Linked DNA regions of Danio rerio. The protein of the gene in region 5 purifies or fractionates together with the protein of the main gene of each other region. This does not show direct contact. Links are inferred from orthologs where the notes say so. Each region holds a gene or a part of one and is shown on either strand. Other genes may lie near its edges. The genes, in order: cop1, dcaf8, trpc4apb, cops4, cul4b, glmna and brwd3.

Region 1 (3,500 bases), on a different chromosome or scaffold from region 5:
AATTTACCAACATTACTGAGGCAAATCATTTTAATAGTCATAGACAAAAATATTTAAACAAAATATCCCATCTCTTTATAGTAAAATAAACATACGTTTTTTTACTCGTAAGCTTGGTAGATAAAATGGTACACAGTGTGTGTAAAATTGTGAAGTTGAATGACTACATTACCACTATGCAAAAATTTTTCAGATGGGGTGCTAGTAGCTGGGATGAACAAGAAAAGAAACCAAAAGGCCTCTCCGGCGAAAATGACAATGGTGTTCGGTCAACAGTCATTGATAGCGATTTTAACGCCCAGCCAAATTCTGAATATTTTTCTCTATAATTTTCACAGAGTATCTACAGAGTCTTTAAAAGACAAATTTCAAGATCAAAATTTTAGGTCTTAAAGTAATTTACTGAAATATTGTGTTGTAGGTCTTAAATCTTTTTAAACCAGGTATTAATTTTCCTTTGTCCATTTATAGCTACCCAATCACCAATAACCAATGTCAATTAAACTTTAAACTTTATTTCAAAAGGTTACTTTTAACTCTATTCACCGTTTAGGTTTCTTACAATAACAATTGTTTACAAGTGCGTTAAAAGGACAGATTGTTGTGCATAGATGTAGTTTATTATATATTTTTTAACTTTTAACTTTTACATTTTTATGCTATATTGATCTAAGAGCCCATGATACAGCAGAAATGTGTAAACATGAGATTCTAAAAGTGTGTGTTAATATTAGAGATGTACCAAATTTTTGGCTGAAAATGTTATGCCATTTAATGGACCTTCTAATTTTTGTGGCTTCAGTGATTGTAGGGGTTCTCTTTTAAATCTGGAAACATTGACAACTTGCATCAAATCTATATGATTATTGTTCAATATGGAAAATAATTATCGAGTTTGCATTTTTGTCATATCGCCCAGACCTAGTTTAAAGGGTATTAGAATAACCAAAACAACCTTTCAGATATTTTACAATGCAAAGACTTTTTTAATGCGCAAACTGAATTTGTTTGGTAAAAGTGTTTTTTCCATCATAGTTTACGCACATCTTTTCTTTTCGGATAAAAAGTTTCTCTTACTTTGTTATGCACGTACGCATTTCCAAAATTGATGCGCATCTTGGCATTTCCATCAACAGTTTTTTATGTACATTTCCAATTGTCTTCAAGTCTTACAACTGACTTAATGAAATGTGCAGAAGCCATGCTTTTAGAGGACAGCTGATGTAATTATGTGGTTTAAATTACATGCATACAAAATTAAATAATTGTTTGTTTCCCATTCAAATATTATAGATCTGTCAAATATTTTAAATGTTATAAACAGTTTTGTTGCTTAATATTGCATGGATACAGTCAGTCCTTTTTAACAGATAAAAATAACATGCATATAATAGCTTTAAAATAATTATTAGATGTATAAATACAGGCTGTTTTGTACATCGTGTACAGAAAAAAGACAGGTTTATTGTGTTTTTGTTTTAATTAATTGGAGTGATTATTGAGGAGTATATTTTGTGTTTGTCTGTCATATATTTTTACCATTATTTACAGAGGATAAAATTATAATTCAATGAAATAATAGTTTATATGCCATCTTCCCTCTCAGCCATATTTAAAACAGAAATTACTTTATCAAAAAGACTCTATTTAGGGGTCATAATTAGCCCCAAAGTAGTAATTACATGTAATTGAAAAATGTAATGCTCTGTCAATCCATGTTTTACTAATTTTTCTGCAGGTGGTTTTTAATCAATTAAAATATAATAATAGCATTTAGTATGATCCCTAAGTCAGAATATAAGAACAGGTCAGAATAATGCCTCGTCTTTGACACATAATATAATTTGCGAAACATTTATACTTAATCTATGTTAGACTCTGATTTGCTGGTTGGATTTTTCATAGGAGCATGAAAAGCGGTGTTGGAGTGTCGATTTCAACCTTATGGATCCCAAGCTCTTAGCGTCGGGATCAGATGACGCAAAAGGTATTCCCGCAACCGAACCGTTCCTATCAAGTTATTTGATTTATAGTTCTTACGAAGATATTCTTTTATAAATACTCATGAATGCAACTCGCTTCTCCCCAGTCAAGTTATGGTCCACCAACCTGGACAATTCAGTAGCCAGCATTGAAGCCAAGGCCAATGTATGCTGTGTTAAGTTCAGTCCAACCTCTCGATATCATCTTGCCTTCGGTTGTGCAGGTACATAATTCATTTTAATCTATTAAAAGTTTGGCTTCCTGCAGAAGTCTTTTTAAAACTTTGTTTTAAATCTTTTACAGACCACTGTGTGCACTACTATGACCTGAGGAACACTAAGCAGCCCATCATGGTTTTCAAAGGCCACAGGAAAGCAGTATCCTATGCCAAGTTTGTCAATGGAGAAGAAATTGTCTCTGCGTATGTATACACTCAAAGTCCTTGTGTTTTTTTTTTTTTTCCTTTATCAGTAGAAATAATTTGAGGACAAAAGTCAGTGGAAGAAGTTAAGGGTAGATCTGTCTCTATTTTTTGTTGTACTATATATATTGCAGCAAGATATATTGCTTTTTAAGACCATTTTATGCCACTCGTTATATAATAAGAGTATAATAGCATCACAATGCTATTATACTCTTCCGAAAAACACATAATATTTTATTCTTAAGAATATTTTAACAATTTAAAAATTGGGTATTGTAATCAATATAGGAAAACGCATATCCAAAATTATAATGTTAGCTAATAGTGCAAGGTAAAAAGTAACACAGGCTAAAATATCTATATATATATAATATTATATATAATATAATATAGTCTAGTACCAGATCTATTTTCAGTTGTCAAACATCCACAAGAAAATACACTAATTTATAGTAAATACTATAGTGTTTTTTTTTTACCATAATGACACTGCCAGCTTCAGTAGAGATGTTGCACAATCAGCTAAAATTTTGCTAGAATTGGTTTTTATGTATGGGCTATAGTGCTTCACCAAAAATGTAGAAAATAAAATAAAATAAATTAAAATAAATAAAAAAATAAAATAAAAAAATATAAAGATATATTTAATGTGAGTGATCATTCATGGCTTATAAGTATTGTGTTGAAAGTATAATTACAAACTAAATTTTAGAGTCTTGATTTTAAACTGAGATCAGAGTTAAATTGTGATACACTGTGTTCACAGCTCAACAGACAGCCAGCTGAAACTCTGGAACGTGAACAAGCCTCATTGTTTACGCTCTTTCAAAGGCCACATCAATGAGAAGAACTTTGTGGGTTTGGCATCAAATGGAGACTATGTAGCATGTGGTGAGTGGCATGATATGACATTAATTAAACAACAGAAAGGTTTGCTTTTGGCATTTTGGTTTATAATCAAAGCTATGATAATGCGATATATAAAGTCAAGGCTGGAATTATTCAAACCCCTGGCAAATTCTCACAAAGTTTTTGTTCAAATGTTTATAAAAGCCACAATAATGCATCTTGTACACAGTCTTATTATCTTTTA
Region 2 (3,500 bases), on a different chromosome or scaffold from region 5:
CTTTCAGTCTCTGCTAATGAGCCGGTGACCTGAATCAGGTATGTTTGGTTAAGGAAACAGGGAAAATGTGCTTAGCTGGTGTTTCTCCAGGAACTTGGTTGAGAAACACTGCTTTAGGGTATTTTAAAAGAGTTTAGAATCTTTGCATTATTAAAAATTGTATAGATCTATCTATCTAACCTGGCTGTACATTTCGATCCAGTTTAAATTGCTGTTGTGTTTTTGTTTGACAGAAACCACTTTTTTTTTTTAAATGTAGAAACTTCCCTCTTTTATTTATTATTCTGTCCCCAGGCAAAGTTCCTTCCACACAGCGGTGACTCCACATTGGCCATGTGTGCCCGAGATGGACAGATCAGAGTGGCAGAACTGTCTGCCACACAACGATGCAAGAACACCAAAAGAGTGGCTCAGCATAAAGGTGCAGCTCATAAGGTATGAGTTTTGTTGAATTGTTTGACAGAAATACAATACAATACAATCTGAATTCAAAGATTAAGACCTAACAGTTATTATGATGTGTGGATTTGCATTAAATAATACTTAAACCATGGTTACCCTAAACCAATCAGCTTTGAAATCTGTAACTGCTTGGAGCTGTGCAGTTGCATATGTTTGATTAATCAACAGTGTGCAACATCTTTTAAAGAATCAGAAGAATAATTCTGTAACTAAAGCGATTGTTTTATTGGGTTTATGGCGAGATGTAAAAAGAGATTGCAATCAAAAAATCACATGTGAATGCTTGTGACTTTTGTTTTATTTTCTTAGCTTGCACTGGAGCCAGACTCTCCCTGCTCTTTCCTCTCTGCTGGTGAAGATGCAGTAGTGTTCGGCATTGACCTGCGTTTAGACAGACCTGCCAAGTGAGTGCAAAGTCATGTCACAAACAGCCCTAAAATTGCCAGAGGAAAAGAAATGAAGCACTTCAGCCAAGCGACAGGAGCAGGATTAGATATCCTACAAAGAATTGTGTCAGCAGCTAGATGAGTCAGTGGAAGCTTCTGTCTCATGCTATTATATGGTTTACTTGACAGTGGTCCATCTCAACACTGCTAATGCTTTTGGGAAATGCCTCTTGTTAATTATTTTGCTTTCTGTTGGTATGCTATTAAAGAGCCCCTATTTTGCATTATAAAAGGTCGTTTTGGTTTTGGGGTCTCTAACAACAGGCTGATATGCATGCAATGTCAAAAAAACACTTTAATTTTCTTATAATATGCATTTAGTTTTACCTAATTATCTCAACGACTCCTATATGATTCGTTCAGCAATTTCATTTGTTCTCCTTAGCACAATGTTAATCGTGCTGATTGAACCAATGACACAGTCTGTCATGATTTGTTGACTGTGTTCAGCGCAAGATGGAGAGTAATGCCCACCATGGCTATGAAGTAGCACACAGAGTATATGAAAGCCCAATGCAGAAATGCAATAAAGCAATGCAGTTAAACACCAACATATTAGTCTATTAGTCGTTTAGATTGGTAAGAAGCATGGTAAATTGGAAGGAGCATGAGTCACGTTTTCAACATGGTTTTGGATGCAGTATGTAAATAGCCCCATGAAGTTTTAACCTAAGAGGTACAATATAAGCATAGATCTATAATAGATAAGTGATTACAAGCTGCTCGGGGTGACACACAATTTAATACATATTTTGTAGGCTGTCCCATACATAATAGTCTCTGCTGCTCCTTCCTCTAATAGCAAACCGCCAATGAAACCCGTGTTGCAGTGTAGGTTATTGTATCAAAAATACTGTACTGCGGTGGTGTTGTGAGAATAAACTATTACCACCTATTCCCCGCAGCCGAATCTCCATCTGTCAGTGATCGTCATCTTAGCATCATGATCAGTCCCCGCACTCTGCTAGTGTCTAATGGGAAAGTTGCGTTCACGTTTTACCATTTCGCCACTTCTTATTTGGTGATGTACCGTATCGATGTTGTTGCGTTCAAGCAAAAGCTCCGAACCCAATACGATTTATTCAATTGACTCTGAGTCGACTATTTCGTAAAAGAATCAATCATTTTCAACACGGTGCAGTTTCAGATATAAACCTGAAAGTGCTCATTTACTTGTTACACACTGCATAGAAGATCATTTTCAAAAACCCATAATTGAGGCTTTTTAAAAAAAACTCTGCATTTGTTAAATTAACAACGTGCTATATTTCAAATGTTTAAGGCTTGAAAGATTTTTAAAAAAAAAACATAATCAGTTAATGTGTATTTAACAATAATATTAAAGTGGTGTAAAACAGGACTATGTTTTTTCTTCAGTTTTTCAACATTGATCAAAAAATGTAAAGTTTCATGAGCACTTTTCCAATTTATTACATTATGAAGTTTCAAATGACGCAGAAGACTGAAGTAAATGCTATATTTCCATCACAGGAGTTAATTACATTTGAAAAAATGTATATTTTCTTTCTTTTTTCTCCACAAAAGTAATAATTTTAAACATTATAGTTGGAAAATAATGATATTTTAAGTAAACATAAAATGTTTTATGACATTTTAATTACTCCCAGAACTAATTTTTTTATCCTAAAATATATATTTTATGCTCCAGCAACATTATGGAATTTTCTGCAGCAGAAATGCAGTATTATGTCGGGGATAATTTTAGTGAAAGAAATGGCTGTGATTCATAGGATACATAACATGCTTTTGTTCTATATTAAGTATACACTCTAGCTTACTGACCTACCATTTTCCCATTTATTTTTATTCTCAGCAAACTGGTAGTGGTGAAGGAGGGTGAAAAGAAGGTGGGACTATACACCATTTATGTGAACCCAGCCAACACACATCACTTTGCTGTGGGTGGCAGAGATCAGTATGTCAGGTGAGATGAACAGTCGTGGTGGTGTCTTGTTTTATGGGATTTAAAACATGACCTAATATACAGTGCCATTTTATTTCTCTGTCTTCAACATTTCAAGGTGAAAGCTGTCAAGCATACCTGATCCTGTTGGGCTGGGCTGATAAACAAAATCATATTGAATGGCCATACAATTTATGTTGATAATGATGATAAGCTCTGGACATTTTTACTTGATCGTAATCATCACCAATGATCAGCCAATCACACTGCATATACATCCAACAACAGGAATCTAGAATTGTGTTGATATTAGAGATTCACTGAATTTTTGGTTGCCGAAAATAGGTCATGCTGTGTCTCCCAGTATTGGTTAGTACACTCGTTTTATTTTTCTGTCTGCAGTATTCGCCTTCAGTCATGGTTGGGATACTCTTTTAAAAGGGGAAGCATTAACAACTTATATTGAAATATATATTTAATCATTCAATACAGAAAAATAATTATCGAGATTATATTTTTGCCATATCGCCCAGCCCTATGATCCTATTATTTCTCCACTGTTAAGCTGCCAGAAGACAAAAAGGGCAGCTGTTCTGCATCGCTCACTGATTCTGTCTCTTCCTGTTTCATATGTGATAGGATCTATGACCAGAGAAAGATAAACGAAC
Region 3 (4,281 bases), on a different chromosome or scaffold from region 5:
TATTTAAAATATTATAAAAATATATAAAACATACATGAAAATATCTGACAATAATGTACTATGCAGAGTTGGGCTGGGTTACATCTGCCCCTCATTTTGATTGACTTATTACCACTTAATAAATGCCTGAAAATGCTGGCATAAAAAGAAGATACACATTTGAAAGCTTTTAAAACATACAGCTATCTTTGAAAAACAGATTTAGCTTGATATGAGACATCATTAAATATTACTTTTGTTAAACCATTGTTCTTTCTATTTCATCACTGCTTGGCTCCCTATTAAATATTGTATAATTTAAAAAAATTTACTACCTACAAAGCCCTGAACAGCTTAGCTCCCCCGTATATGAGGGAGCTTCTGGTGTATTACAACCCCCTAACATCCAGGAGGATGCTCAATTAATTCTGGACAATTGATTATTCCCAGAATATTAAATTCAACTGTAGGTGGTAGATCTTTCTCATATCTGTCACTTAAACTCTGGAACAGCCTTCCTAGCACAGTTCGGGAAGCAGACACACTCTGTCAGTTTAAAACCAGATTAAAGACACATCTCTTTGCATTAGCATACACATAAAACACAAATGCTTTTCAAATCCAAATCCTCTAAAGAATTGTTAGTTAGTCTGTTTTTATTATTCTGGTTTCCATAATATTGGACCAGGCTGTATCCTGAGCAGCTGCTGTGGTGGTTATGGAGGAGTGGAGAGCGTGAGACTGATTCCTGTAAGACCCCAGTGACAGACGAATCCTTGCATTGATCCTGAAGGGCCAGGCTGTACATCAGCCAGAAACCTGCAGCTTCTCCGTGATGGACGTCCAGCTTTCTCCAGCCTCCGTTGCTTAGACTGCAGCTCTGCACAAGAAGTTTGGCCATAAGAGAAATGGTTGTGCCCAACTGAGCCTGGATTCTCTCTAGGTTTTTTTCTTTCACTTTCATCAATTGGTGAAGTTTGTTCCTCGCCACTGGCTTGCATGGTTCGTAACTTGTGGAGCTGCCCATCGATGGATTTGCTCTTCCATTTTTGAACTATAAGCAGTTAAAATTAAACCCCACTGAACTAAACTAAACTTCAACTCTAAAAACTGGACTGACACTGTTTCAATTTACTCTAATCTTCTATGTTAAGCTGCTTTGACACAATATACATTGTAAAAGCGTTATAAAAATAGAGATAAATTGAATTGAATTTAAAAAATAACATTATCAATTTTATGCATTTGAATGACTGGACCCTTTATTGTGTGTAGATGCACTGATTTAGATGTATTAAAACGACAATAAGAGATATACACTCACCGGCCACTTTATTAGGTACACCTGCCCAGCTGCTCGTTAATACAAATTTCTAATCAGCCAATCACATGGCAGCAACTCAATGCATTTAGGCATGTAGATAGACATAGTCAAGACGATCTGCTGCAGTTTAAATCTAGCATCACAATGGGGGAAGAAGGGTGATTTAAGTGACTCTGAACGTGGCGTGGTTGTAAGTGCCAGACAGGCTAGTGTGAGTATTTCAGAAACTGCTTATATACTGGGATTTTCACACATAACCATCTCTAGGGTTTGCAGAGAATGGTCCAAAAAAGCGAAAATATCCAGTGAGCGGACGTTCTGTGGGCGCATGTCAAAGCGCAACTCAGACTGGTTTCTTGAACATGGCAATGAGTTCACTGTACTCAAATGGCTTCCACAGTCACCAGATCTCAATCCAATAGAGCCCTTTTGAGATGTGGTGGAAGGGAAGATTCGTCTCATAAATGTGCAGCCGAAAACTCTGCAGCAACTGCGTGATGCCATCATGTCAATATGAACTAAAATCTCTGAAGAATATTTCCAGTACCTTGTTGAGTCTATGCCAGGAAGCATTAAGGCAGTTCTGAAGGCAAAAGTGGGTCCAACCTGTTACTAGTAAGGTGTACCTAATGAAGTGGCCTGTGAGTGCAAGTTCATATGATGATGAACATGATTCATTGGAATAGCTGTGTTAAATATAATGTCTATATTAATACTGATAACATTTAAATGTAAAATACTTCTAAAGCTACCGTAATAGCAGTTACAGTTACTGGACCCGTTTTGTTTCATGACTAAAGACTAAGGTAAAATTTATTTTATATTCGCACATTCAGACTTTCTCAGTAATTTAATTTCAGAAAAGTATTCTTTACAAATTTTTAATAGTGAAATCATTTTAGCAGCCAGGGAATATCAAAGTAAAACACTGTTTACAGTCAAATAAATAACGTTAGTGTTAATGCTGCTTTGAAGACATAACGTTACTTGTATGTGATTTCAGATCCATTATTCAAAGTACCATGGTATACAATATAGGGAGCATGTCACAGTTATCACTGAACGAATGTGCGTAACAGTTAAACCAAGTTTACCTAAATTGTCTCCAGAATCAGTCAACAACATATTTTGAGTAGCAGGAAGATAATTTCACATATTAAAAAGTTAAATCTAACCACACCATATTAGTCATCTAACGTTACCGTTACACATCATAATTCGCTTTGAACTCGATGAAATGTTCTGTATTTCAGATTAAGAGGTGTTTTAAATGGAGTGCTGTTCGGGCCCTCAAATGTAAACAGTGTCAAAGAAACGCTTTGGAGCCGATTTAGACATTTATGTCATTTATAATCTCACCTGTGATCCTCTAGTTAACCCCTCGCCGGTGACTTGGCCTTGTCGAATTTTATGAAAGATGTTTTTGCATGGTTTTCCTCGTCTTGTTTGGGTGCGAGAAAACCCAGGGCCTCTTGTCGCCATTGCTGTTCCTCTGACGTCGTGACGTTGAGAAGTTTCCACGAAACCAGCGGGGGAGAGATGGAGCTGCTGCTGCTTCCTGCTGGACTGGAAGAAAACTACAACCTGCGGAATATCTGGAGCTCTACAAATAACAGGCTTTATTGGGAAACCAAATATGATGTTCAAACATTTTAGAATTGTTTATTTGTTTCTCTTTTGGAAGGTCCTACACTATTATTTTTGTATGATCGATTATATTATTCTGTTCAGCTTAGTCTCTATATCAGAGGTCGCCACAGCGGAATGAACCGTCAACTATTCCAGCATAAGTTTTAATCAGCATATGTTTTACACAGCGGATGCTCTAAGCATTGGGAATACTAAGAGCATCCATATACTTAGTGTTTCCCAGTACCCAGCATTGGGAAATACCCATAAACACTTATTTCCACACAAAAACAGTAGGGCCAATTTTGTTTACCCAGTTCACCTATAGCACATGTAAGGAGCACACGGAGGAAACCCACACCAACACGGGGAGAACATCCAAACTCCACACAGAAATGCCAACTGGTTCAGCTGAGGCTTGAACCAGCGACCTTCTTGCTGTGAGGCGACAGTGCTTACCACTGAGCCTTCATGCTGCCATATTAAAAATGATATATGTATAATATGTTTATGATTTATGTTGATAATATTTATATGTAGGCCTACATACTACTTGTATATATTGTATAAAATAACTTCTATAATTAAGTAACTTAATTTAAAATAAAGAATTTTTAAAAATGCAATTACAAATATTTCCATTGTCAGTGATGAAAATATTGTACTGTAATTTACAGTACGCGCATGCTCTTGTTATGCAAACAGCATAGATATATAGATAATATATAGAAATAATAGTTTTTTTCCTGATCCACCAGCATTTACTGCACACACCAGACAAATAATCATGGAGGTTCCTGTAGTTTCCCCCATTTTGGGGCCTGTTAAATGACCATGACTTCATCTCTTGGGCGATGATGAATGGAGGCCAAACATACAATCGCATCATCAGAGGAGATCAAAGAGACGATACAGACTCAACACACACCCTCTCCGATGATAAAGCACGGCGAGGAAAGAGAGACGTGTGTCTGCGCTCATGCCTTTCCTGAACACACACAGTGGAGGACGACAAAAACCAGCCCTGAGTCGAGGAAATGGGTGGTTCTGAATCAAGTCCACAAAATACTTCAATTTACTGGAGCTGAAAAGGGAGGAGGGAAGCTGCAAACCTGAAAACACATTCAAAGAGTCAATACACTCTTGGCATCTGCTGGATTTAGGTCACACTTGGTGAGTTTTGCCTTTATTTGATCTGTTTTTGTGTAAAATAAAAAGGTGAAATGCAGTGAGAGCTGCCATCTTTGGGAATTTAAGGGGCTTTTAGGCTTTTCTTAATAGAGATTCATTTTTAAGAGTTCAGCTTTTATAGCTGTTTATATGACCACAAATGTTTTATGTTTAACCTA
Region 4 (4,286 bases), on a different chromosome or scaffold from region 5:
CCAGCCAAGGCTCGAACCAGCAACCTACTTGCTGTAAGGCTATTGTGCTGTCAACTGTGCCCCCGTGACACCTTTATATTATATTATATTATATTATATTATATTATATTATATTATATTATATTATATTATATTATATTATATTATATTATATTATATTATATTATATTACATATGTGTGGCTATAGTGTATGAGTGTGAACGAGTGTGTTTAGATATTTGCCAGAACTGGGTTGCAGCTGACAGGGCATCAGCTGTGTAAAACATATGCTTGGTAAGTTGGCAGTTCATTCCGCTGTGGCAACTCCTGATGAATGAAGGGACTAAGCCGAAAAAAAATTAATGAATTAATTAATTATATTATAGAGTTACTGCAGGGAAGAGTGAAGGAGGCAGATCTTTATTGATCCTTACTATATATAAAATCTCATCAGGAGGCTGTTGAGCTCAGAGTAATAATAAAATATCTGAAACTAAAAACACGAAGATGTCTGAGAAAGATTTCTTAGAGGTTCAGTTACTAAAGGTTCAGTTTTTATGTTGTCTTTAGAATATTAACTAGGTGTAATTTATTTTATCAATTATTAATTCATCATTATTCAATTAATATTACTACTAATATTATGTCTAAACCCCCCAATGGGTGTGTTGCACCTATTTGTATTGATGAATTTTAGACATTTACAATTAAAATTAATTAAATAAAATTTTGACAAACAAATTGATATAATAAATTAATTTATGTTCACATTTATGTTCACATTAATAATAATAATAAATAAAATGTTGCACACACACACACACACACACACACACACACACACACACACACACACACACATTTGATGCACAAGATTTGATTAACAAGAATTATTTATTAAAATCCCCAGTTAAATTGTATTTTATTAACACCTACCCCATTCCTAAACTCAAGCATCAAAGTGATGGTAAAACACCACGTATTACCCATATTATTCATTAAATTACCCATTAAACTGTATTTTATTAACGTCTACCCCTATCTAACCCTAAACCCAACCAATAAAGTTATGTGAAACAGTAATTATACCAAGTATTACTCATAATATTTATTAAATTACCAATTAAATTGTATTTTATTAATGTCAACACCTACCTAACCCTAAATACAAACATCAAAGTAATGTAAAAACAATAATTATATCAAGCATTATTCATAATATTTATCAAATTACCCATTGAACTGTATTTTATTAATGCCTATCCCCCCTAACCCTAAACTCAATCAATAAAGTTATGTAAAACAGTAATTATACCATTATAATGTAAAAAACTGTCATTATACCAATTATTACTCATAATATTTATTAAATTACCCATTGAATTGTATTTTATTAATGCCCATCTCACAGTTATGTAAAATATTAATTAGTGTCACAAAAATGATGCTATCCGCAGCTGTATCCCACATAGACTTTACCGCCCTCTAGTGTGTTGTTCAGTTGTCGTCGGTTCTCTGTGTTGTGTGGCGCCCTCTGCTGGCCCGCAGGTTTCGCTGTTTAAGTGCGGAGGAAAATGGCGTCCGGCGTGAGGCAGGAGCTCGCACAGCTGATGAACTCTAGTGGCTCTCATAAAGATCTAGCTGGGAAGTATGTGGTTTCAAGTCATTTGCTAATATCGTTACTGTATGTCTTTTGCATTTGGGTGTTATTGTGTGATTTTCTATATAAAGGTCTGTGATACTGCAAATGATATGACTACAGGCTAACATTAGCAAGCGTGTGTAATACTGAGGATCTACCTGTCAACATGCCTACATCAATAACAATCATACAAGTTATAAATAGTAAAAGCTATTAGAATCATTAGCATATTTGTATGCAAATGTCTTTGTGAATTGACTAATATAATTTGAAAACGATAGGAGGAGTACGTTAATGCAAATACAGTTAGCCTACAGAATTTAAGACCCCATTAAATCAAATCGTTTGGTTCAGTAATTTTGGTTTGAGATATTGTATATCCAAACGTAGACCTAAAAGTTGACAATATAGTTGTCATTTGACAATGACATTTGAAAAAAAACCGTTTGTTTTTTAAAACCAAAATACTGATGACTCATCTTGCATTTAGGGGCGTGTCTACGTTTTTGTCCAATCAAATTTTATAGGATGAACAAGCCTTACCCTCAGCATTATTAAAATGTGTGTCTGAATATGTAGACTTTTATATTAGGCGAAAAGAAAAAGTTGAATAGACAGTAATAGTTCATTGTATTTAAAAAAAAACAGTAGGGGAGAGCAGGAATAAAAGAAACGTGGGACAAAAGTAACAAAGTGATTTTCTCGAAGCCCTGAAAACATTTGATTTACAGGCTATAACAACACATTTAGCAGCATGCAACCCTTAATGAAACTGCTAAATATACAATTTTGGGGCCGTGTCCTGCAATGAGCTCTAAATTTCTGTTTGAAAGTGCAAAATGTAAATTATTGTAGTGGTTTGTTGTATTTCTCTTTTCATGCATCACCGTAATGATCAATCTGCAGGTTCTTTAGTGCAATAACAATTCCTTGATTTTGAAATGTCTGAGTTTTGCAGTTTAAAAGGTAAATTAGGTTTACTGTAGGGATGAAAGTAACACTGTTATTTATGTCCCTCTGCACTTTTTCACTTCCATATTAGTTTTCAGTGTTTTGACTCTTGACTGTTTTATAAGATTAATGCAGATTGCCAATAATAATAATAAAATATTCAAAAATTTTAAGAAAATATAACATTTTGCATTGTTTGATTGCTTTTGAAACATTTTATGGAAGTAAAATTAAAAATTAAGGTGCAGTTTAATATTTTTTTTGCAAAAATAAAGGACAAAATATGCCTGCAGTTAACATTAACAAGGTCAAAGTCAGATACAGTGGTGGAATGAGTACTGAAAAATCAAAAGTACATATTTTTTAAATTACTTGGTAAATTACAATTTCTGAGAAAAGTTACTCACAGTAATTTGAGTATTGGTGATTTGTTACTTTACACCACTGGTCAGATATATTTAAAATAAACACGATTAAGCCGGTAAATCTAGCAAATATTGTTGTGTTACTTTTGACTCACCTGTGAGTTTTTTTTCGTTCCTGTCAAAAGTAGCTGTGCAACTTTTGTGTAAAGTGACGTTATATTGGTGTTGTTCTACATTATACAAAATAACACCTGATTTTGATTGATCACTCTTATGAGTTGGTAACCTCAGCAAAATATATATTTCCGCTAAAAACATTATCTTTTTAGAGTTAGGTTTATATGCAAAATGTTACTTTCATCCCCGCTGTCCCCTATGCAAAAAGGACCAGAATAACATGCTTTGTATGCTGAGATTCTGAGGTGTGTGTCGAATCAAAACTTTTCTGTCTCACTAGGCCACAGGAGAGGATTTGTGAATAGTAGTGGAGCGACACAAGTCACACAGCCCATATGAAATTGATCATGACTATATTATAGTAAAAGTGTATTAAGCATTTTTTTGGTACACTGATGATTAGCATTTGTATAAACAAGACTTAACCACAAATAAACACCAGGAATAGATTTAAATTGGTGTCAAAATCCATAGTTGATTTGTGGTTACTGTGGTTTGCTTAAATAATGATGATTTACATATATTCTGAAGATGAAGTTCAAGTTTAGGTCATATGACCGTGGCAACATTGTGAATGGGGATGTAGAACTGTTGATTGACAGCCACTAAGAATTCACCTTAACAAGCATTTAAAGCTGCATTTGATATATTTATCACTTTATACAGTACAATATAAATCCAGTCATCATTATCATCCAGTAATGTCAACACAAGTATAGTATAATTTTTGTAGCTATAATCTTTGTCCTCCCTGTTTTCACAGATATCGTCAAATATTAGAAAAGGCTCTACAGTTTACTGATGCAGAACAACTTGAAGCACTGAAAGCATTTGTTGAAGCGAGTAAGTATACTAGTATTCAAGTACTAATATTCTGATTATAAACATTCACTTGCCTCTTTACTAATTACACCTTGCTGTTACTGGTTAGACCCATTTTGATTTCAGAACTGCTCGTTCTCATGGCTTAGAATAGTTTTAGCAAGGATCTCATATTATTTCTCAGAATTTTTGGTCCATATTTACAGGACTGTATCACACAGATGATGCTGACTTGCTGCCTGCATGTTCATTATGTAAATCTCTGTTGAGATTTGAAGGTTTTGTTTAATTTACAATAAATGGACTGAAATGCTGAAAACGGAGATGTGGCTATCAACAATCGATCTCT
Region 5 (4,297 bases):
GCTCTCAGATCTGCTGTAAATGTTGCTCTCCGAATCACTGTCTATCTCCCCTGCGTTTGTGTTGCCGCTGTGAAAATTAGTGTGTGCATGTAGCGAAACTCTCCTTTTTATGCAAACCCTTCCCTCTTTTGGCACTCAACACTCCCACCTAAACACATCTGGACCCACCCACTTTCCTGGCTTTTTTCAAACTCGTGGTGTGAAAACAACCTGCTGAGAGAGAGGACTTTCGTGGCCCTTAAATTAATAAAACTGCTGCTTCTCTCTGTTCAGAGATATGACAAATTATGCATGCACTGCAGCAGGGACTTGCCCCACAGATCCAAAATAGTCCTAATATAAACACTTATCAGAGATTTATAACACTTATCACAGGCCCCCAGAAGACAAAGGATTCTCATTTTGAAAAAAAAAAAAAACGTATTTAATGTGCAATTATTTATATTTAGAATTAGATTCAAGTGAAGTAAATCCGATTTCAGTTGTTGCACTATTAAACTATTTGTTTTTTAGCGTTATGTTCGACATTGTGTTAATATTTAAAAGTACAGTGCTCAGCATATGAGTACACCCTTCACAAATCTCTCATTTAAATTAATATGTCCTGTAGGATGCTTTACAATATTATATTTGTGCATAAACATTAGTTTAGTCAGTACTGATTCCAAATCTGGAGCAAATCCAACAAAATAACTTACAATAAAGGTTTAAAAATTAGTAGCCCAAATTGATATGTTAGGGAAAAATATTAAACAACATATAATATTTTGAACAACTTTGTTGAAATGTTGTAGTTTGTCATTTTTTTTTTTTGCAATACTTTGAATGAATTTAATTGTATTGTCTTTCCATTTCTAAAGATGTTCTTTGACTAAAAAAAATAATTTAATAAATATATCCGTTTAATAAATCTGTTTTGTTCAAATGCACCAATGTTTATTACCCATATTCACTGGATGAAAATAGATAATATTTCTCACATGTACTCAATTATGCTGAGCACTATACATACATGCGAACTAGTAATTATCCCAATAATGCTCAATTATAAGGAACATAATTATAATTAAGTTTCAAACTTATGGCTACTGAGATAAAAGATGCACCTAACATTTGATACAAAATACTTAAAATAAAATATGCTTTGCTCGTAAAAAAAAAAAACTCTGTCAGAGAATGAGCCTCGGAATAGTGACAAACAGCACCATACACTCTAAAAGCACAAAACATTTTAGTAACAATGTACAATGTTTCATTTGTTGACATTATTACAATTAATTTAAAATATGTTAGCATGAACCGGTTATATTTGTAGAACCAGAAATATTGCAACATTTATTATTATGCTAAATTTTAATTCCATCTAGTTTCTCCATCAAAAATTAGCAAAACTTTGTTAGCATTAGTTATTGCATTATGAGCATTTTTATAAACATCAACTATGATTAATAAATGCACTGATGCTTTTATTTTTAGTTGAATTAATAAAATGTTACCAAATTAGATCACATTGTATAGTTTTACCAGTACTTTATAAATCTCTTTGAAATTATACATACAATGAAATGAAAATGAACGGGTAATATCCATAAACAAATACTCAAGCAGTGAGATTTTGTTAGCAAAAGTGGCTTATCTTCATAAAAGCTAGTTAAAGTCTATAATAATTATGTTTAGATAGAAAGATCTTTGCTATCATTTGTGACAGTGTCATTACATTTCCTTTTATAAAGAGGTTTTGCAGTTGTTTACCTTTACATGAGGCCGTGGCTTCACCACTCATTTATGGACTTCACAACTGCGTTTGGCCATAAACGCAGTCTAGACATGCAGCTAACTAAGTTTTAAAAGACAGCCCAATATATTTCCCTTATATTATTACAGATTTATCGCCTACCTTTAAAGTTCTTGATAACAAGTTTCTTCGCAGCACCGGGTTTACTGTTGGAGAAGGTAGCGGAGCCCGCAGACTTGGTCAGTCCGTTAGCATGATGCCCAACACCGCCGGGCAGAAACACATTTCTCGCCTTTGAACAGGATTCGGATGGGTTACAGGACTCCTCGGCCATCTTCACATCCAGTCCGATCAAATCCAGCGGGTCCTCGAACCTCAACTTCTTCTGGATGTGCTGTTGTTGCTGCTGTTGTTGTGAACTGGAAGAGCAGGACGTTGTGGAGGAGGAATTGCAGATGGCTTTAGGAGACGATGATATTGAATCAATGTCTTCCTTGTCTGAACTGTTGATTTTCCTCTTCTTAGAAGACGTTAAGCTACTGTCGTTGTGAACATCAGAAGCTGCCGGTCTGGGCTCTTGGGCTGGCGGTGGGGGATTAGGGGAAGGTAAACCTGTTGGAAACATGAAAAAAGAAATACTAAATCAAATCGCTAATCTACTAATGCTACGATCCCGGGTGCGGACGCTTTCTATTCCTCGGTCTCGGTCGGGGGAAGTGCAAGCTCTCGGCTCCGTGTATGGATAAGGAGGAAAAAAAAGATAAATTGAGAAGTGCAGCCCCACTTGGACCCTTCTCTGTTCTTGTTATTGCCAGCAGAGGAAAGATGGTTGAATACTGCTTCCTCTCGCTCGAGCACACTCCGGCGCGCGGCACAAAGTCCGTTGGATTACAAGCTGCTTTTCGCCGAGGGCTGTTTGCGTTAAAGCATTCTGCCGGACGCCGTCTGTCCGCTCACGAGACTGGTTGGTATTTTAGGTTTTTTGTCCAAGTCCGCGGGGAAATAGTAACTTTTCTAAGAGGCGACGCTGACCCGCCGGAAGTACTTTCGACCGTTGCTCTGCGCAGCTGCTGTTGAGGCACGTTGGATAAGCGCAAGGCCTAACTGCTCCGATGCGCCACCAGAGGACGCCAAAGCACCACGAGCAGTCTAGACCAGACTAAACGCTGGAACCCCTGTGCACTGTTCAAATTACCACCCTTTCATTATATTTGAAGCTTTTTTTGTCCTATTTACTTTGATTAAAATGACATTTTTATTGCTAAGCGATGATAACGTATGCATTGTTGATTGTTGGTGGCTTTCCCCGTTGGGAAGAGGTAAAATGTGAAATATTTACTGTTCATCGCCAAGTGGCAGCATAGATAGGCCTTTGCAAAAAGTTTCTGGCTTTTAAAAGAAGTTCCTTGGAGTAAAACAGCATAGTGTGCATAAATACACTTACTGGTTACTATGTTCTGAGAGCTGAGCTGCATTTTTTTATTTTTAGTGGGAAGAAGCTTTTTTTGCACTGCAACTGATGATCAACAATTAAAAAAAACATCTTCCTAAAAGGAAAACTACCAACCATCTAGAATACATGAGTATTTTGAGTCATGGGTTTGCAATCAAAACATGGCATTATAATGGAAGTCAATGAGGCAAAAACAAACAAAACAAAAGGGGAGTAAATTTGCCCAATGTGTATTGCTGACTTTTTGAACATTTTCTAAGCATTTCCCCAAAATATGTCGAAATAGGATTTGCTATTAAAAATCATTCTATTAGCTGAAACAGAAGAAGTTGTAGCCAAACCAGACTCAAAATCCCCCCAAAGTTTTGAGATACTAATACTAAATATTCCATGTTCTCCCAGTGTTTGCGTGGGTTTCCTCGGGTGCTCCAGTTTCCACCACAGACCAAAGACATGCGCAGGTGAGTTGGGTAAGCTAAATTGTCCGTAGTGCATGTGTGTGTATGAGTGTTTCTCAGTGATGCGTTGTAGCTGGAAGGGCATCCGCTGCATAAAAAATATGCTGGATAAGTTGGCGGTTCATTCTGCAGTGGAGACCCCAGATTAATAAAGGGACTAAACCGAAAAGAATGAATGTTATGACCTTGTTTATAACAAAGTTTTATTTGTATTAAATGGTGTCCACAAATGTCAATTTCTCCCCAGTTTGTCAAAAGATATCAAACAAGTGAAAAATCTAAAAGTAAGACCTTGTTGCCTTATCATTAATATTATTTTTTATAATTAAAAAAGTCTTAATTTAGTTTTTATACTTTACATAATATGCTGCTTATTAGTTGCTTAAGGCTGCATGGTGGCTCAGAGGTTGGCACTGTCGTCTCAGAGCAAGAAGGCCACTGGTTCGAGTCCCGGCTGCATTTCTGTGAGGAGTTTGCATGTTCTCCCCTTGTTTGCATGGGTTTCCTCTTGCTCTGGTTTCCCCCACAGTCCAAAGACATGCTCTATAGGTGAATCGAATAAACTAAATCAGCTGTAGTGTATGAGTGTATGTGAGAGTGTATGGGTGTTACTGGGTTGCAGCTGGAAAGGCATTTGCTGTGTAAAACATA
Region 6 (3,500 bases), on a different chromosome or scaffold from region 5:
GAGATTTTCAACATCTCTAGGGTTTACACAGAATGGTCGAAATACGAGAAAATCCCCCCCCAAAAAAAAAAAACCAGTGAGCGGCAGTTCTGTGGGCACAAATGCCTTGTTGATGCCAGAGGTCAGAGGAGAATGGCTAGACTAGTTCCAGCTGATAGAAAGACAACAGTAACCCAAATAACCACTCGTTACAACCGAGGTATGCAGAAGAGCATCTCTGAACGAACAACATGTAGAACCTTGAGGCGGATGGGCTACAGCAGCAGAAGACCACACCGGGTGCCACTCCTGTAAGCTAGAACAGAAAACTGAGGCTACAATTCGCACAGGCGCACTAAAATTGAACAATAGAAGATGCTGCAACATTCAGATGGTAGGGTCAGAAATTGGCATTAACAGGATGAAAGGATGGATCCATCCTGCCTTGTCTCAACAGTTCAGGCTGGTGGTGGTTTAGTAATGGTGGGGGGGGACATTTTCTTGCCACACTTTGGGCCCATTAGTACCAATTGAGCATTGTGTCAATGCCACAGCCTACCTGAGTGTTGCTGCTGACCATGTCCATTACTTTATGAACACAGTGTACCTATCTTCTGATGGCTACTTCCAGCAGAATAACGCACCTTGTCATAAAGTGCGAATCATCTCAGACTGGTTTCTTGAACAGGACAGGGATGTGGTGGAACGGGAGATTGGCATCATGGATGTGCACCCGACAAATCTGCGTGATGCTATCATGTCAATATGGACCAAATCTCTGAGGAATATTTCCAGTACCTTGTTGAATCTATGCCACTAAGTTTAAGGCAGTTCTGAAGTCAAAAGGTAGTCCAACCCCGTACTAGTAAGGTTTACCTAATAAAGTGTGATTGTAAGTCTAAACACAGTCTGAGTAAAAGGCCAGCAAAGGTCATTTATATATAAAAATAAAGGAAAGAGTATACACTGTTAAGCCAAGACAGACCAATACTAGTAACTTATATGATGCCAGTACATTAGTCAAACTTTGAAGCGGATCAAAAAAGTTTACAAAAATTGTTCTAAGACAAGATTGGGTGTTGTTTTATGATGACTTATCCTTAAAGGGATAGTTCACCCAAAAAAGAAATCATTTTCATTTACTCACACTTAGGTGGTTTTAAACTCTTATGGTTTTTCTTCTTCTGATGAACGCAAAGAAAGATATTCAAAAAAATGTTGAGAAAAAGAAAAAAAAACAACTGTTGACATCCAGAGTAAATGCAAAAAACACAATGAAGTCAATGGCACTCAACATTTTTCACTATATCTTCCTTTGTGTTAAACAGAATAAAAAACTTAAACAAAAACTAAAATAGTTTGGTAACAAAAGGAGAATAGGTAAATTTTCCTTTCTGGGTAAACTACTCTTTTAACAAAGTCCAAAAATATAGTCTACATCAGTGTTTCTCAACCACATTCCTGGAGGACCACCAGCTCTGCAAATACTCCATGTCTCTTTAAACAATCACACCTGATTCAGATCATCAGCTCATTAGCAGAGACTGAAAGACCTGTAATGGGTGTGACAGACAAAGGAGACATCCAAAACATGCAGTGCTGTTGGTCCTCCAGGAACGTGGCTGAGAAACACTGATCTACATGATTCTGGACATTATGAATGGGTACCTACAACTTAAGCAGTTCCACTCTGAGCTCGTTGTCTTTGGATATACTGTTGTTATCCTTGACAACCTCCTTGATCTCCTCAACAAAGGGCTTCACAAACTGTAGAAGAGCAGAGCAGCAGCGGCACAAGCCGAAAACATCGTCCTCCTCCTGCTCTGCTGTGACAGGCACTGGCAGCCTGGAGACCTGCGAGAGCAGTGTGGAGAGAGCCATACCCACAGACGAGGCCTTCCTAATGCCCAGACGCAGCAGCACTGAAACGATAGGACAAAAAAAGTACACATTAAGTTTAGGATCCATTCAAAATGCAAAAAGTGTCATGTAGGATGTTTATAAATACAACCTAATTATTTTTTTACCACCAGGCAATGCAAGATCTATATGATTTTGGAGTGTGCAATATATATATATATACAGTTGAAGTCAACATTTATAGCCCTCCTGTGATTTTTCACTTTTTTTCCAAATATTTCCAAAATGATGTTTAACAGAAGGGTGACGCAGTGGTGCAGTAGGTAGTGCTGTCACCTCACAGCAAGAAAGCCACTGGTTCGAGCCTCGGCTGGGTCAGTTGGCGTTTCTGTGTGGAGTTTGCATGTTCTCCTTGTGTTCGCGTGGGAATCCTCCGGTGCTCCAATTTCCCCACAAGTCCAAAGACATGCTGTATAGGTGAATTGGGTAGGCTAAATTGTCTGTAGTGTATGAGTATGAATGAATGGATGTGTGCCACACGCCTGCTTTTGAATGAAGGTTTCAGCCATTAAATCGTCCCCTGGGAGCTGGCTGCAGTATAAGTCATAAAGCATGCCTCCTCCGTGTTAATGAACGAGACTTGAGCCCAAATAAAAAAAAATTATTACACTTGCAATAAAATGTCCCGAAAGATGGTTTTGGTCAATAGGGGCACTGGTCATCATGCTGAAATAGGTGCAGATCTTCATTTTTGTAAACAGTATGTTTTTAGCAGTAATTTAATGCTGGGCGTGTCATCGTGATTGACAGTTCTGATTGACAGCTTCTCAAAGCTGACCGTCAGAGCTTCGGCAGGAGATTGAAAGGTTAATTTTCAATTTCTGTGTTATTTTACCATAATAAAATGGGCTCAGCAGTAAACTATACTTTCTGACCTACAGGATCTGGTGGAACACTGTTTTTTCGGTAAGGTCAGGGCTTTATCTGGCTTTATTAGTTTGCTGATACACGCCCAACGTTAGCCATGACGGGGAAAATACAGGTGATGGCTATCTAGCAGTAATTCTCTTTACGAGTCTGAAATAATAATTAGGAAGACAAAACTAATGTTAGCCGACACCTACATTGATCTCCTGTAATGTTATATAAAATTGATTTAAAGGACGTCTCTGACATTTTGAGTTTTGACATGTTATTGAGTTAATCTACTGAACTTGCTGTTATAAAATGTTAACGTTCTAGAAACCAAATCTTATATAACAAATAGAGGTGTAAATGTTATATATTATTTATATACATCATTTACCGTTGGCTTTTTATTTGAAAACTCCTAATAAACATTAAAATGAATGCAATTTCCTCTTTGCCAGATATAATGAGGGCATCGAATAAACCAAATGAAACGGAGGCAAAAATTATCAACAATATGCAAGCAATGTTGCAGCAGCTGATTGACATCAGGTGATGTATTAACACTGTAAAGTTTATTTTACAAATTGATATGAATTGTTTTATATAGTGCAGGGACGGGATGTGTAATTATCTTTTAAATGCATGACTTTTCCCGCATGGTAAATCGTTATCTATGCTTTGTAGGCTATATTTTGGGTCCTGTTGATTGCTAATTTAAAATAAAAACCTTTCTAAAATGTATGTGTTGT
Region 7 (3,500 bases), on a different chromosome or scaffold from region 5:
GTATCGTCAGCAGTGTTAAGTTTTTAAAGACATACCTTAGTCAAATGATTTACAGTAATATCACTACAATATCATGGACTAAAAGTCCTCCACTTCCACACAGCTCTCAGATCGCCTGTAAATGCTGCTCTCTGAATTACTGTCTATCTCTCCTGCGTCTGCGTTTGTGTTGCCAGCGTAAAAATCAGCTGTTGTGCTCATACTGAAACACGACTTTTCATGCATATCCTTCCCTCTTTCACCACTCGACGCTCCCACCTAAACAAAGCTGGACTCACCCACATTTCTGACCTTTTTCAAACTAGAGGTGTAAAAACAGGGCTGGGGGGTTTCATGGCCCTTTAAAATAAATTTTTTTTCATCAGTATGTATAATGTAGTAAAATGATGCATGTTATAATTAGTTTATTTTGCAAAGATCAAACTAAAAGTTTTTGGATAAGTAGAAGGTAGTAGGTTTACTTGGAATGCTGTGACTTTCAGATTGAATGCACTGAGAAAATAAAAAATAAAATGTATTATTTATTCTTATATTAACGGTTTACATTTACTTAAAAAGGATAGTTCAACCAAAAATGCAAAGTCTGTCATTGTTTACTCACCCACCCAAATTCTTACCTCTTTTGAACACAAAATAAGCTGGCAACCTGTAACCATTGACTTGAGTATTTGATTGTCCTATTATGGATTTCAGTAGTTACACATTTTTAACGTTCTTCAAAATATCTTCTTTTGTGTTCAACAGCAGAAAAAAACTCAAGATTTGCAACTATGCAATTTTGGGTGAACTATCCCTTTAAGACACAAACAACTAAATTTATTAGGATAAACAATATGTATCGTTCAATACAAGATAACATGTGAATATATCTTGAACAAAGCAGAAGTTTACAAACATTACAATATAACTTTTAGTTTAACTTACTGATTTTTAAAAGCTGTCAATTGTTTTTCATAATCTACAATCTGACTCATTGTTTGCATTGGGTTCAGTTTTATTGTGCCCGTGTGTACAAGATATTTAAATATGAAAAAGAAGATAATAATAATAATAATAAAACCTAACATACAAAACATAAACTAAAAATGCAGGGAGGCTTTCCATTATTTGATTTTATTCATGTACACCTGATAATTTTACCATTAGCCATGTATCCCAGCTGGGGCACGAGCTGCTCCTCTTTGCAGTTTTCTCTGCCCGGCACCAGGCGCTGGCATCGAGGAGGGTGGGGGTTTCCATCCACGTCCACCAGGAAAGGCGGAGGCATAAGATGTGGTGCCTGCTGCGTCTGCTCATCTAGAACAAAGTTATTAGAGTCCCGGATCAATGGCCGGAAATCTGTGTGGAAGAACATTTGGTCTGGAATCTGAAAGCAGAGCAAAGCGTTGAAATGTGAACATGTGTGGTTTAAATCAACTGCACTTAATGCCACACATCTGAGACACACACTCACCATTTCATAAGGCTGACTGCACCCAAAGCCGAAGATGAGCAGATGACCATGCGAGTCTGTGCAGGCGAAGTGCTGCCCGTCCACTGAAAACTTACAATCAAACACAGCACCATGACCCTGACCCTCAATCTGGCAGAGGAAAAAGAAAAGGGAAATAAATGCAGTGCTGAGATTAACAGCCAGACTGTAGCATAAATGACTGAGCAATAATATGGGCTTTGAAATAATTTTTCTTGTTCTTCAAAAATGTCTGCATTTATTTTTTATTTGCTTAAAAATATATAATTAAAAGCCATGTGAAATCCTATAATAATTGAAATAGTTTTCTGGGTTAATATTTCATTATTATAATTATAATATAATTAATTTTAGTTGCAGAATTTTAAAAATCTATTTTTTCAGTGTTTAGTTTTGCATGACTTTTCAAAAAAATATTCTAGTATGCCATTTTAATGATCAAAAAATAAATAAATAAAGATTTTAAATGTTGTAGAAAACTGTCCTGTGGGCTGTTCCATAAGCCATGCTTGGAGAAAAAGCCAGGCTTAATTTGGAAGTCGGGTTTATTAATGGCTGATTCGGTTTCATAAATCAAATGTTCAAACTCAGTTACTCTGGCAACTTATGCTGGGAAACTAGCCTGGTCCAGAGCAGGTTAACTCTCAGGCTAAGTCTTAAGTTTAAGCTTAATCAAATTCATGTTAACATTCACCTGCCATAATTTGATGCCATTTTAATTAACTTAACCTCTTAAAAATGATTAACATTTTATAGTCACTTAATAGTAAATATATATTGCAACACCTCCTCTCCTTGAATTGGTATCACTCTTGAGGGGGTTCTACAGAAATAGAGACACTGCTCGCTGCAGAGCCATTTGAGCAGAGCGGAGCTCCAGCGAGGGGGAGCATGAACTCTCGCTCCTCCTCCTATAAGCGATTTTAATGCGTACACCAACCCCACCCCTAACCCTACCCCCAGTGACATCACTCGTAGAAGAAGTGCAAAAAAGGAGGAGTGAGAGCTCAAGCTCCCCCTCGCTGGAGCTCAGCTCTGCCCAAATGGCTCTGCAGTGAGCACCACTTGCAGAAATATGGCTGACTGAATAAACACTCTCTCGAAACAAATTATAGCAAGCGTAAACTCTCTTTTTATTTTACCAACATATTTTAGAAAAGAACAATAATATATTTAAATTCAAACAAGTTATTTCAAACTAAACAAATAGGAACTACAACATTTTAACAAAATGTCTATATTGTTTTAGTTTATGCTGATTCCCCTCTACAGACTACATTTCTTACAGAAATCAAAAAAGCATCAAACCCTGAGTGGAATAATCAGGAGATGGATCTGGGCTGAGCAGTAGCCTCACTTTAGTATAAAGATACTTTCCCACGAGGCCCAGGAAATACACATGTCAAAGGGAAAGCAGCAATTTGCAGCGGTTTCGGGAGCAAATTAAAAATCCTGCCGCTTGTGCGTGCACGGCTCTTTGTTGCCATTATTTTAAACTTAATGTCCTTACATTAAACATATTTTGTATGTGACAGTATGCAATGCATTAAAACTTTTTCTTGCAAGCGACAAATGGCAGAAAGCGCGTATCCTTTCTTGCGCATACAAGCACAATTTCAACGTACTGTGACAAATATATAATTCAACAATAATAGGCCTAAATAATGGCCTATATTTTAAAATATATTGGTATATATGTAGCCTATAGAGGCCATCTGAAATTTCCTGTCAGCCTTCTCTCTTGCTTTAAATAAATTATTAGTTGTTTAAAGTCTAAAAACAAATGCAGCTCACTCACTGTGAACACAGCGGTCTTATTTCAGCACTCGTTCAGTTCTCGTAGTTGCCATGGTGGCACACAACATTATAGATGCATTTACGCTCGACCTTTAAGGTTTCACGACTAGTCTATTCTTATCTAAGATTAGTTAGATCAAATGATATTCAACTTGTTATGGAACCAATTTAGGCGTGGACGTTTAGTCTGGCTCATTGAAGTCAGGTTTCTTTACTTTTCTAAACGACTTTT

What was found.
Region 1: the proteins of cul4b (region 5) and cop1 purify together in Homo sapiens (affinity purification with western blotting; 4 studies listed by BioGRID and IntAct, with this or other methods). This does not show direct contact. The link is inferred for Danio rerio from reciprocal best matches to the Homo sapiens genes CUL4B and COP1.
Region 2: the proteins of cul4b (region 5) and dcaf8 purify together in Homo sapiens (affinity purification with western blotting; 7 studies listed by BioGRID and IntAct, counting the BioPlex papers as one, with this or other methods). This does not show direct contact. The link is inferred for Danio rerio from reciprocal best matches to the Homo sapiens genes CUL4B and DCAF8.
Region 3: the proteins of cul4b (region 5) and trpc4apb purify together in Homo sapiens (affinity purification with mass spectrometry; 4 studies listed by BioGRID and IntAct, counting the BioPlex papers as one, with this or other methods). This does not show direct contact. The link is inferred for Danio rerio from reciprocal best matches to the Homo sapiens genes CUL4B and TRPC4AP.
Region 4: the proteins of cul4b (region 5) and cops4 purify together in Homo sapiens (affinity purification with mass spectrometry; 9 studies listed by BioGRID and IntAct, with this or other methods). This does not show direct contact. The link is inferred for Danio rerio from reciprocal best matches to the Homo sapiens genes CUL4B and COPS4.
Region 6: the proteins of cul4b (region 5) and glmna purify together in Homo sapiens (affinity purification with mass spectrometry; 3 studies listed by BioGRID and IntAct, counting the BioPlex papers as one, with this or other methods). This does not show direct contact. The link is inferred for Danio rerio from reciprocal best matches to the Homo sapiens genes CUL4B and GLMN.
Region 7: the proteins of cul4b (region 5) and brwd3 purify together in Homo sapiens (affinity purification with mass spectrometry; 3 studies listed by BioGRID and IntAct, with this or other methods). This does not show direct contact. The link is inferred for Danio rerio from reciprocal best matches to the Homo sapiens genes CUL4B and BRWD3.

What each region holds. Positions count from the first base shown.
Region 1 is NC_133177.1:38,101,960-38,105,459, forward strand, and holds part of cop1 (E3 ubiquitin-protein ligase COP1), read left to right. Parts: intron 1-1,905; coding exon 1,906-1,987; intron 1,988-2,089; coding exon 2,090-2,206; intron 2,207-2,286; coding exon 2,287-2,404; intron 2,405-3,173; coding exon 3,174-3,298; intron 3,299-3,500. UniProt on the Homo sapiens protein: E3 ubiquitin-protein ligase that mediates ubiquitination and subsequent proteasomal degradation of target proteins.
Region 2 is NC_133177.1:41,035,514-41,039,013, forward strand, and holds part of dcaf8 (DDB1- and CUL4-associated factor 8), read left to right. Parts: intron 1-294; coding exon 295-435; intron 436-771; coding exon 772-866; intron 867-2,742; coding exon 2,743-2,853; intron 2,854-3,471; coding exon 3,472-3,500. UniProt on the Homo sapiens protein: May function as a substrate receptor for CUL4-DDB1 E3 ubiquitin-protein ligase complex.
Region 3 is NC_133198.1:21,678,178-21,682,458, forward strand, and holds the start of trpc4apb (transient receptor potential cation channel, subfamily C, member 4 associated protein b), read right to left. Parts: upstream 2,801-4,281; 5' UTR 2,786-2,800; coding exon 2,663-2,785; intron 860-2,662; exon of another isoform or gene 1-859. UniProt on the Homo sapiens protein: Substrate-recognition component of a DCX (DDB1-CUL4-X-box) E3 ubiquitin-protein ligase complex required for cell cycle control.
Region 4 is NC_133185.1:12,012,889-12,017,174, forward strand, and holds the start of cops4 (COP9 signalosome complex subunit 4), read left to right. Parts: upstream 1-1,486; 5' UTR 1,487-1,554; coding exon 1,555-1,628; exon of another isoform or gene 1,629-3,605; intron 3,606-3,848; exon of another isoform or gene 3,849-3,878; coding exon 3,879-3,958; intron 3,959-4,286. UniProt on the Homo sapiens protein: Component of the COP9 signalosome complex (CSN), a complex involved in various cellular and developmental processes.
Region 5 is NC_133189.1:38,063,572-38,067,868, reverse strand, and holds the start of cul4b (cullin-4B), read right to left. Parts: upstream 2,801-4,297; 5' UTR 2,361-2,800; coding exon 1,898-2,360; intron 1-1,897.
Region 6 is NC_133177.1:11,252,415-11,255,914, reverse strand, and holds part of glmna (glomulin, FKBP associated protein a), read right to left. Parts: intron 1,902-3,500; coding exon 1,652-1,901; intron 1-1,651.
Region 7 is NC_133180.1:23,679,229-23,682,728, reverse strand, and holds part of brwd3 (bromodomain and WD repeat-containing protein 3), read right to left. Parts: intron 1,583-3,500; coding exon 1,454-1,582; intron 1,367-1,453; coding exon 1,141-1,366; intron 1-1,140. UniProt on the Homo sapiens protein: Plays a role in the regulation of cell morphology and cytoskeletal organization. Required in the control of cell shape.